2 linked regions of the Neurospora crassa OR74A genome follow. The protein of the gene in region 1 interacts with the protein of each later gene in a pairwise test. Links are inferred from orthologs where the notes say so. Each region holds a gene or a part of one and is shown on either strand. Other genes may lie near its edges.

Region 1 (4,200 bases):
CCCTATGTAAATGTCAAGGACAGGCACACCGTCGATCCTCAACTACATCCAATTTTACTGGGGTCATTGAGTTGTCGAGTCATGAACACAAACCTTACCTCGTCAAAGATGCGTTGCAACAAAACGTATGAAACGTTCACGCCATCAACTACTGACCGGTCAGTTCAAGGTCATACGCGAATCGGCATCGAGCAGAAGGCGAAGACGACACAGATCAGACAAGCCGTTTTAACTCAGCCCTACAAAGCCGGCCCAAGCCTCCCACGCCCCAAAACGGTGCGCAGGAGACTCGGACAACGGAAGCCAAATGACACCCCGAAGGGAGACACCACAACTAGTCCTCACGCCCCGAAAGACGCTCCAGTGCGGATGGATGGCTCGGCCCGTACATATCGTTGAATGGATAGACTGTTGTCATCATTGTGCATGGGACAAAGGAAAAAAAAAAAAGGCAAAGTACCTACCAGATGGGCATGTCGACTCTCCCACTAGACGCAAGATCGTTTTCAGATCCTATATAACTTGAAGTTTGTTAGCCAACTTGCTCGCAGCATGTGTGGTGAGGGCTGTCGTTGCAAGAAAGAGTTGGGGTGATTGCCATATCAGAAGGTTTTGGTATAATTGGTTATCGCTCATTATTATTCAGAAGCAGAACTGAAAATATTTTGTTTCATCATGGACAATCGGGTGGGTGATGATGTCAGGTGGGGGAAAGAAAACAGAAAGGAAAACAATGTGATGCTTACCTAGTGGGTAGAGACTGAGAAAACGGAGTGGAACAGCAACGGTGACAATAACAACTTTGTCTGTACTATTGATTGTCAGTCAACGGTTCCTCCAAATGAGTTGCAAGTGAAGGATGTGTTGAAGGAGTAGTCAGATGGTAGTGCATGTTTGTTCGATCGCTCAGAGATTATCGCGAGAACTGTGGTTATGGGATCATCATGAGATGTGAAAGGCAAGGGGAAATAAACTTACTCTATCCGTGCGAACCAACGTCGGCCATGTCAGACAGCCAGGACATGCTCTCTAGCAATGGGGTTCGCCATCGCAGAATAACCAAGAGCATGCCTGGACAGTTGACATGACCATGCCATTGCTGCGCCAGCGCAGAAGGCTGCCCAACCAAAGCGACCATGAGCACGGTAAGACCATGGTATCATGGCTGCTCCCCAAAGACAGTGGCCATATCAAATGAAGGCATTGATCCAATGCCGACAATCGCAAGCCGTTCCTGCCGTTGCGAACGGTGTGGGTTGGTGGAAGAGTTCAAGATGAGGTTGGAACTGAAGGCGGCAGAGTTTTGTAGCTGCGCAAAAAATTCCTCCATCGGTGGCTTTGACATGGAATTCTGGGTGGGGCATGTGGCTGACTGATCAAAATCGACAGTGAATGTGAGGTTGCGCCACAACTACTTGAATTTGAGAGTGGACCCACTGCAGTGTAGACGGCGACTCTCACGTCTTGTTTTCAACAGTCAACAGAGGTACCAACAGAAGTTACCAACCGTGAAACAAGGAAAGCCATACACAGACGAGGTCTCTTCCTCTTCACCTATCTCAGGATTCTTCGACCAGAGAAGGGCATCGGAAACAACACAGCAATCACCAAGCCCACCATATCTCCGGCCCTCGTATCTTGGCTTCAAAATGGCCGACAGAAGACGTATTAACGGACCGGTTGGGACTACCAACCCTCCCATCTATGACGATGCACCCGAGAAGCAATCCGAAGGTTTCAAGGTCACAAGGTCACGCCCGGCGAACGTAATTCGCAAAATGTGTAAGCACGTCGAGGACAAACCCTCCTGTTTCGCAGACACAGACTAACCTCACGTTTAGATCTCAAGACGGGAGTGACACCGTCGGCCTCTGGCTCTGCTTACCTAGAGATCGAGTCGTCTGGAAACGGCGGCTCTGGCTTGAAGCTCAGTTGCAGCGTTCATGGACCTAGAGCTTTGCCCAGGTCAACACCTTTTTCTCCTCACATCATCTTGTCCACCCATGTCAAGTTTGCACCCTTTGCGACCAAGCAAAGGCGTGGTTACATTCGTGACCCGATCGAGAGAGATCTCGGCACTCACCTTGAGACGGCTCTTCGGGGATCTATCATTGCTGACCGTTGGCCAAAGAGTGGAGTGGATATCATCATCTCCATTGTTGAAGGAGAGCAAGATCGGGAGACCTCCAAGGCCCAGGGTATTGAGGCCTGGGACACCATGAATGCCTTGAGTGGCTGCATCACCGTTGCCTCGGCTGCACTTGCTGACGCTGGCATTGACTGCGTCGACACTGTGGCCGGAGGTGTTGCTGCGTTGGTACAGGACGCAGGTAATGACGCTGCTCCCAGCATAGTTGTCGACCCGATTCCTTCTGAGCATGAGAAGGTTCTTGCAGCGTGCTGCATCGCATATCTTCCCACACGACAAGAGGTCACCAACCTCTGGTTCAAGGGTGACCTACCTGCGTCCGATATGGACGTTTATACGCAGCTGATTGAAAAGGGCATTCAGGCTTCCAAGAGCGCCAACCGCGTGCTCGTGGACTGCCTGAACGAGACCGTTGGGTGATCATGAGGTCGGCGCGGCAATGTATTATTTGTTTTAGCTATGCGCGAATGGGAAATACTCGTATTGAAACCTGTAAGTCCATCAACGGGAAAAACGCATGGAATTCTATGGTCTGACGGTTCATGGTCTTTGAGTACCTCTACGATTTTGGTCGATTTATCGACCCGAAGACCAGCTTCTGATGCAATAGGTCGAGCTACCAGCCACTTGGTCTTTCGCAATAGCCCATATGTAGGGCAGAAGTAACGGAAGATGCCAATCGATAGCAGCGACAACAGAACTGCGTTCCGAGGTTCGGCGGCTGACTGCAAGAATGGAATGGTCAACTTCCGGCGGGAATAGTTTCGAGATGCCTGTCAAGGTCTGACAGGTTGAGCGAGCGCTCTTTTGCTGAAACTCAGCTGGAAGATCGCAGTGTGATGGACGAATGACGTCCAAGAAGCGTTGTGGCTGGTATGCAGAGCTACCCTCTGAGGTTGACTGCCGAAACATTATGAACCGCGGGGTATGAGAAGCTTCCACGTTCTTCGCCTCAATGATCGTCTGTTTCTGAAATTGGAAACATGATGTGGGGAGATTACGCGTATCGTTTCGTTCATAGCAGCACGGCATGTTCGAAGCAGGGCAGACATGGCCAAAGGTGGTGGCTGATCATGAACCGAGGTTTCACTATTACTGCGTAGGGCATACATACACTACACCTGAACTACTTTCTTTTCGTGTCCGGCACGATCTAATCACTTTATCTGAAGGGGACTGTGGTGAATAGCTCGTATCTTTATCAACATTTCGAGGTGGAGGTAACATAACATGATCAACTACATAATCTGCACAAAGATCGAGTAACGTTGCGTTATTACCGGCGTTCTGGTCCGTAACTTTCAGCATTACGAACGCCACCAAGGAAACCCAATGGAACTGAAGTCACTGCATCCGAAGGCGGACGTGGTACCACCACTCACATATTGGCACAGTGCCGGCCGCGTTCAGCGACGGGGCGCCCCCCGGCGTGGCGTGGTCCCGGGCCCCTCTTTCCCCTGAACTTCTCCTTATCTGCCCCCCCACGGTCCCTCCAAAAAACTACAGACATTTCCCAGTTCGGCCCACATTGTCCACTCAGGCGGGAATTGTAAAACGACCTGACAATCCAATCTTTCCCGTCATCCTCCAAAATCTCACCTCACCCAGCTTTCGGGCGAGTTTTCTCTCGCTTCGCACCTGGTCATTTCACTTTTCCCAAAACCACCCCTACTCTCGTTTCTTCCGACGGTCCCGGCTGCCTACCTACCTACCTACCTACCTACCTACCACACTGTACACTTTTAATTATTCCATAGTGTTTTGTCCATTCGTTTTGCGGCCGGTAATTCCTCCTTCCAGCCTTGCTTGTACCGTCGATCAATTCGTTCCGTCTCCACTGCGATTCCGCAACAGTTCCAGGTTGTTGATGCCATAATTCCGATGCGGTCGTCCATACAACATTAATTCCCCTATTACGCCATTACCGACGACAACTTGAGCAATCCTCGCCGAACCGAGACAGCTGTGCCTTGTCCGACTTGATTTCGCATTAGTCATTATCCGCTTTATCGACTACTTCTAATCTCTTCTCGATGGGGAAAGACAAGAAC
Region 2 (4,553 bases), on another chromosome or scaffold:
CATTCGTTGAGTTCCTTTCTCTTCGTTTTCACTCAAAGGGGCCCAAGACAGGACGCACGTGCATTGACTGGTGTTCTGGAGATTAGGTGAGCATGGGGGCGGGAAGGTTCCGTTGCTCTGGCGTCAAGGATAGCAGCGCTAGCCCTGTTTCTCGAAGCCTGGTCGCGGTCGGGTGGTCTGAAACGAGATGAACGGAAACGGGGGCAATGCCAACCAAAGAGCTTTGATCCCTAACACATGTCCGGATTAAGTGCCGCGAAATGTGTTAGCGAGCCCCCTTGGCTAATTCATGGTTCGTTCATCCACAGTTTGATTAAAAGTGTAATGCGAATTGGCGTTGGCGGGTCGTTCCTTGGTAGACTGGGCAACACAGCACTTCCCCATTGCCCCGTTTCTCCGTTCCATTGGACCCCGTGGGCTGGTCGGGCCACCAGCGCAGTAATTCTTCAATGAGTAAGCGCGCACCTCGAGGTTTTCACAGTGAAACGAGAAACAAACCGCGCCTGATGAAACTGTTTAGTTGACAAAGACATTGTGGTCACTGGATGACGACTTGCTCATGGTGGATCTCTGTTCAGTCATATCGATAGACTAGGCCAATTCGTGCTAGCCTGGGCCGGCTGTCTAGGGCTGCATCATGCGCCGACCGACGGCGCCTCCTAGTGTAGAGACTTGATGTTGAACAAGTCTCCCCAAAAACACCAAACGGAATCCTCTTGAACCTTGATCGATTCGCACCCCAGATAGGGAGCTCCAGGAGCATTGGCGAGCGTTCCAGACTTCTAGAACCGGATCACTCTTGGGTCCGAGATGATAGAAGATGACGACGCGCTCAACCGAGGCTTCCAAGAATACAAACCAATTGACATTTCGAACACCCAGCGCATCGCGGTACCCATGAGATGATCTTGGTGGCCGTTGTCCCGTATTCACTTAGCGAAGGGGGGAATGGAGGAATGCCGGTTTCCTCCTTGCTGTTGACAAGGGGTCACTGCCACTGCCACAGTGTGCCCCTGAGTAGAGGTAGCCTACCTACCTCTAGGTAGGCTACCTAGTAGTGATCACTCCTGAGTCCAGACTTCAGGCCCTCTCCTGCTCACAATGCACGATCAAGATCCCATCAACATTGCGCATTCGATTGATATCTTGCCATCAACTCACTGTACCGCTATGAGCTGGAGAGGTCAAATGGGGGCTGTCAAGATCACGTGGAGAGTAGATGGACGGGAACCTTCAATTCCATGTTCCGGGGCCATCACGTCCCGTCCTCTGTCTGCAGCTGCAAACAACTTGCCTACAAGTAGTGTAGAGGTATGCACAGACCACTTGCATGCATTTTCAGCTCCTGATGGAAGCGAAGCAGAACTTAAGCAGAAGCCCTGCGGATGGAACTCCCGTCCTGCCGAGTGAGGTGAGCGGTGGAGCCCGGCACGGCGACCCCGCGAACGTGAGACGCAGCGGATCTTGCCCCGCCCCGCCCAGCTAAACTTTTCCTGTCTTGCCATTGGAAACTTTCGGCCTGGCCCAACCACGTCCGTTTATTCCTAGCAAAAGGCGATTTCAAAGTCAACAACCGTCCACCAGAACCTGCTGTCGATTATTCAGACTGGTCGACCGGAAGCTCCGAATTCCCACTTTGCGCGATAACTTAGTCACTGAAACTGGGGCCCCGACACTTCCGCATTACGCAAGCCTTTCTCTCCTCCGACTCAACGTACCGAGAGCTTGCGCGTCGCTCGCGGCACGATATCGCATCGAATAATCTGTCCCATCGAGCCGAAACTGTACGCACTAACCACGATCTCCCAGATCGAGCTTGGCCGACCCGACTCGAAGAACGACTAGGGTACAACTACAAGCACAACCTGAGCTTGGTGGACACTAAGCAGGGGAAGCAAGAGCAAAAAATCTCGACTCAGGTCCGGCTCCCCAGACAGGCCCTCAGGGCGTTTGTTGTTGTTGATCCTTACTGGATACCGTACCCCAATCTCGACCTTTGGTGTACTCGCTACCTGCCCGGTAGAGAGATTAGCCCGAACCACGATACCCAGAGGAGTAGAGTGAAACGCTAGAACAACAGAACATAGAAAGAAACACCTGTCCACCCAGCTACACCGCTATGCCTCTCGATACTTCAGCATATAGCCTCGCGCTGTTGCGCGTCGACGGCCGCAGGTGGAACGAGCTGCGTCGCATCCATGCCCAGATCCGCACCCAGGCCGCCGCCGATGGCTCCAGTTACCTCGAGATGGGCCACACCAAGGTCATGTGTGTCGTTAACGGACCCAGCGAGCCCGGTCCTCGGAGGGGAGCCACGTCGGGCGGTGGTGGTGGCGGTGGTCAGTCCAAGAACGCCGAGGTTGCTGTAAACATTGTCATTGCCGGGTTTAGCTCGGTTGACCGTAAGCGAAGGGGGAGAGGTGATAAGTAAGTCAAAACACCCAGGGGTTGTTTCCCCCCCAGTGTCAACTACGGCTATTCGTCTGTCACTGTTCGCATAACTAACCCGTCATCCTTCCTTCTTCCATCATCACAGGCACATCCTCGAACTCCAATCGACGATATCTCAAGCCCTCGCTGCCAGCTTACACACCCACCTCTTCCCGCACTCCACCATCAACATCTCCCTGCACGTGCTCTCGCAAGACGGCTCTTTGCTGGCCGCCCTCATCAATGCCGCCACGCTCGCCTGCGTCGACGCCGGCATTCCCATGACAGACTACGTCGCGGCCTGCACGGCCGGCTCGACGTCTACATACGCGGCTAACGACGAGGGCGCCGACCCGCTGCTGGACATGAACCACCAGGAGGAGCAGGAGCTGCCCGGCCTGACGGTGGCCACATTGGGCGACAGCGACCGCGTGGCGGTGCTGGTCTGCGAGAGCAGAGTGCAGGTGAGTCGCCTGGAGGGCATGTTGGCCGTGGGCGTGGACGGGTGTAAGCAGGTGAGGGAGATCTTGGACAGGGTAGTGAGAGAGAAGGGGATAAAGATGATACAGGAGGGCACGGTCGAGAGAGGGGTTGGGTTGAATGACATGGAACTGGATTGAATGGACACTACTGAATCAATGGTTGGGCTCCGGGTCACAGAATCGGATATGGTACGGTAGGTAGCATTACAAAGGCTTGGAGCAAAAAAGAATAGGCAACATGACGAATTTGACGAATTTCACGACTATCAATGTAATCAAAAGTACAGCTCTTGGTCAGGTGAGCAACATGTCGTTTCTGTTAAACGTGCGCCAACTTTTGAAAGCGTTCTCCGAAACTGAAAGGTACCAAAAAACCTTCAACTTTTGACCAGCCATTCACTGACACAAGTCACAGCAAACTACGCTTTCACCAATCTCTCACAGCTCATCGTGACCACTGGCCGTCTTCGACTGGGCCTCAGGCGTCTCCCCCTCCTTTGAAGCAGCCTTCTCAGCCTTACCAGACTCTTTCTTTTCCTTCTTCTTCTCCTCCTCCTCCGTCGAAGAAGCCTCAACAACAATACCCTCCGGCAGCTTTTTCTTGGTGCCCTCGCTCAACCTAATCGCATCAATCCACGCCTCCACCTTGTCATGATCCGAGAAATCATCTCCCTCACCAACAGCGTCGTAGCGTCTCCACCATCCGCGACGGGCGTTGATGACGATGAGTTCAATGTCAGCATCCTCCTTGAGGCCAAGGGATTTGAGAAGGGACGCGCCGGCGGGGTTGGTGTCGAGGGGCACCTCGTAAAAGGGGAAGAGCTTGTGTTGGCCGAGGGCATATTTGAATTTTATTTCGGCGAGGTGGGTGAGGGCCTTTTGGGCTTTTTCGTTGGAAGAGGATACCAGCGCGAGAAGGCAGGTGCTGGATTTGGACGTGAGGCATTCCTTGACGAGCTTTTCGGGGGTGTTGAGGGAGGGGATGGGGAGGGCGGTGTGGATTATTACGGGAATCTCTTGGGTTGGGGCAGGGGTTTCGGAGGACGTTTCAGAGGAGGTTTCGGAGGAGGCGACCTTCTTGGAGTCTTGCTTTCCGTTTTTTTCACCACCGTTGGCCTTGCCGTTGGCCTTACCATTAGCCTTGCCATTAGCCTTGCCATTAGTCTTGCCATTAGTCTTGCCATTAGTCTTGCCGTTGGCCGGTGCTGGGTCCGGATTAGGCTGGGCCGCCTGGGAAAGGAACTCCACCATGGCGGCCTTGTTGATCTCGCCGTCGTACACAATACCAGGGGCATCACCGCCAGGCAACAAGATCAGAGTAGGGAGTTTGTCGACACCGAATGTGGATACCGCCTTGGACTGAGTGTTTCGCACCTGACCGACGGGCATGACACCGAGGAATTCAATGGCGACGCTCTTCAGCAAGGGGGAGGTGGTACCCTTGTCGGTGAAGAGGAGCGCTTTGGCTGTCTCGTTCTTGTCACTCAGGAACTTGTCGAGGTTCTTGTCCTCGACTTTCACGACGTGATTGTTGATGCGCGAGACCACAGCATCGACAATTGCGCTGGCGGTGCGCTGGCCTTGGTAGTCCTCCACTATGGGCTTGCCGTTCTTAGAAGGACGGATGATCTTCAAGGTCGG

The links.
Region 2: the proteins of NCU08026 (region 1) and NCU00812 interact in binary tests that used the Saccharomyces cerevisiae proteins (3 or more experiments, as listed by UniProt). The link is inferred for Neurospora crassa OR74A from reciprocal best matches to the Saccharomyces cerevisiae genes MTR3 and SKI6.

Annotation. Positions count from the first base shown.
Region 1 is NC_026504.1:3,956,692-3,960,891, forward strand, and holds NCU08026 (3' exoribonuclease), read left to right. Parts: upstream 1-1,456; 5' UTR 1,457-1,649; coding exon 1,650-1,782; intron 1,783-1,841; coding exon 1,842-2,569; 3' UTR 2,570-2,641; intron 2,642-2,703; 3' UTR 2,704-3,401; downstream 3,402-4,200. Other genes in the region: NCU08027 (nucleoside diphosphatase), read left to right, coding at 4,183-4,200.
Region 2 is NC_026501.1:7,076,883-7,081,435, reverse strand, and holds NCU00812 (exosome complex exonuclease RRP41), read left to right. Parts: upstream 1-1,512; 5' UTR 1,513-2,119; coding exon 2,120-2,427; intron 2,428-2,536; coding exon 2,537-3,050; 3' UTR 3,051-3,350; downstream 3,351-4,553. Other genes in the region: NCU00813 (disulfide isomerase), read right to left, coding at 3,351-4,553. UniProt on the Saccharomyces cerevisiae protein: Non-catalytic component of the RNA exosome complex which has 3'->5' exoribonuclease activity and participates in a multitude of cellular RNA processing and degradation events.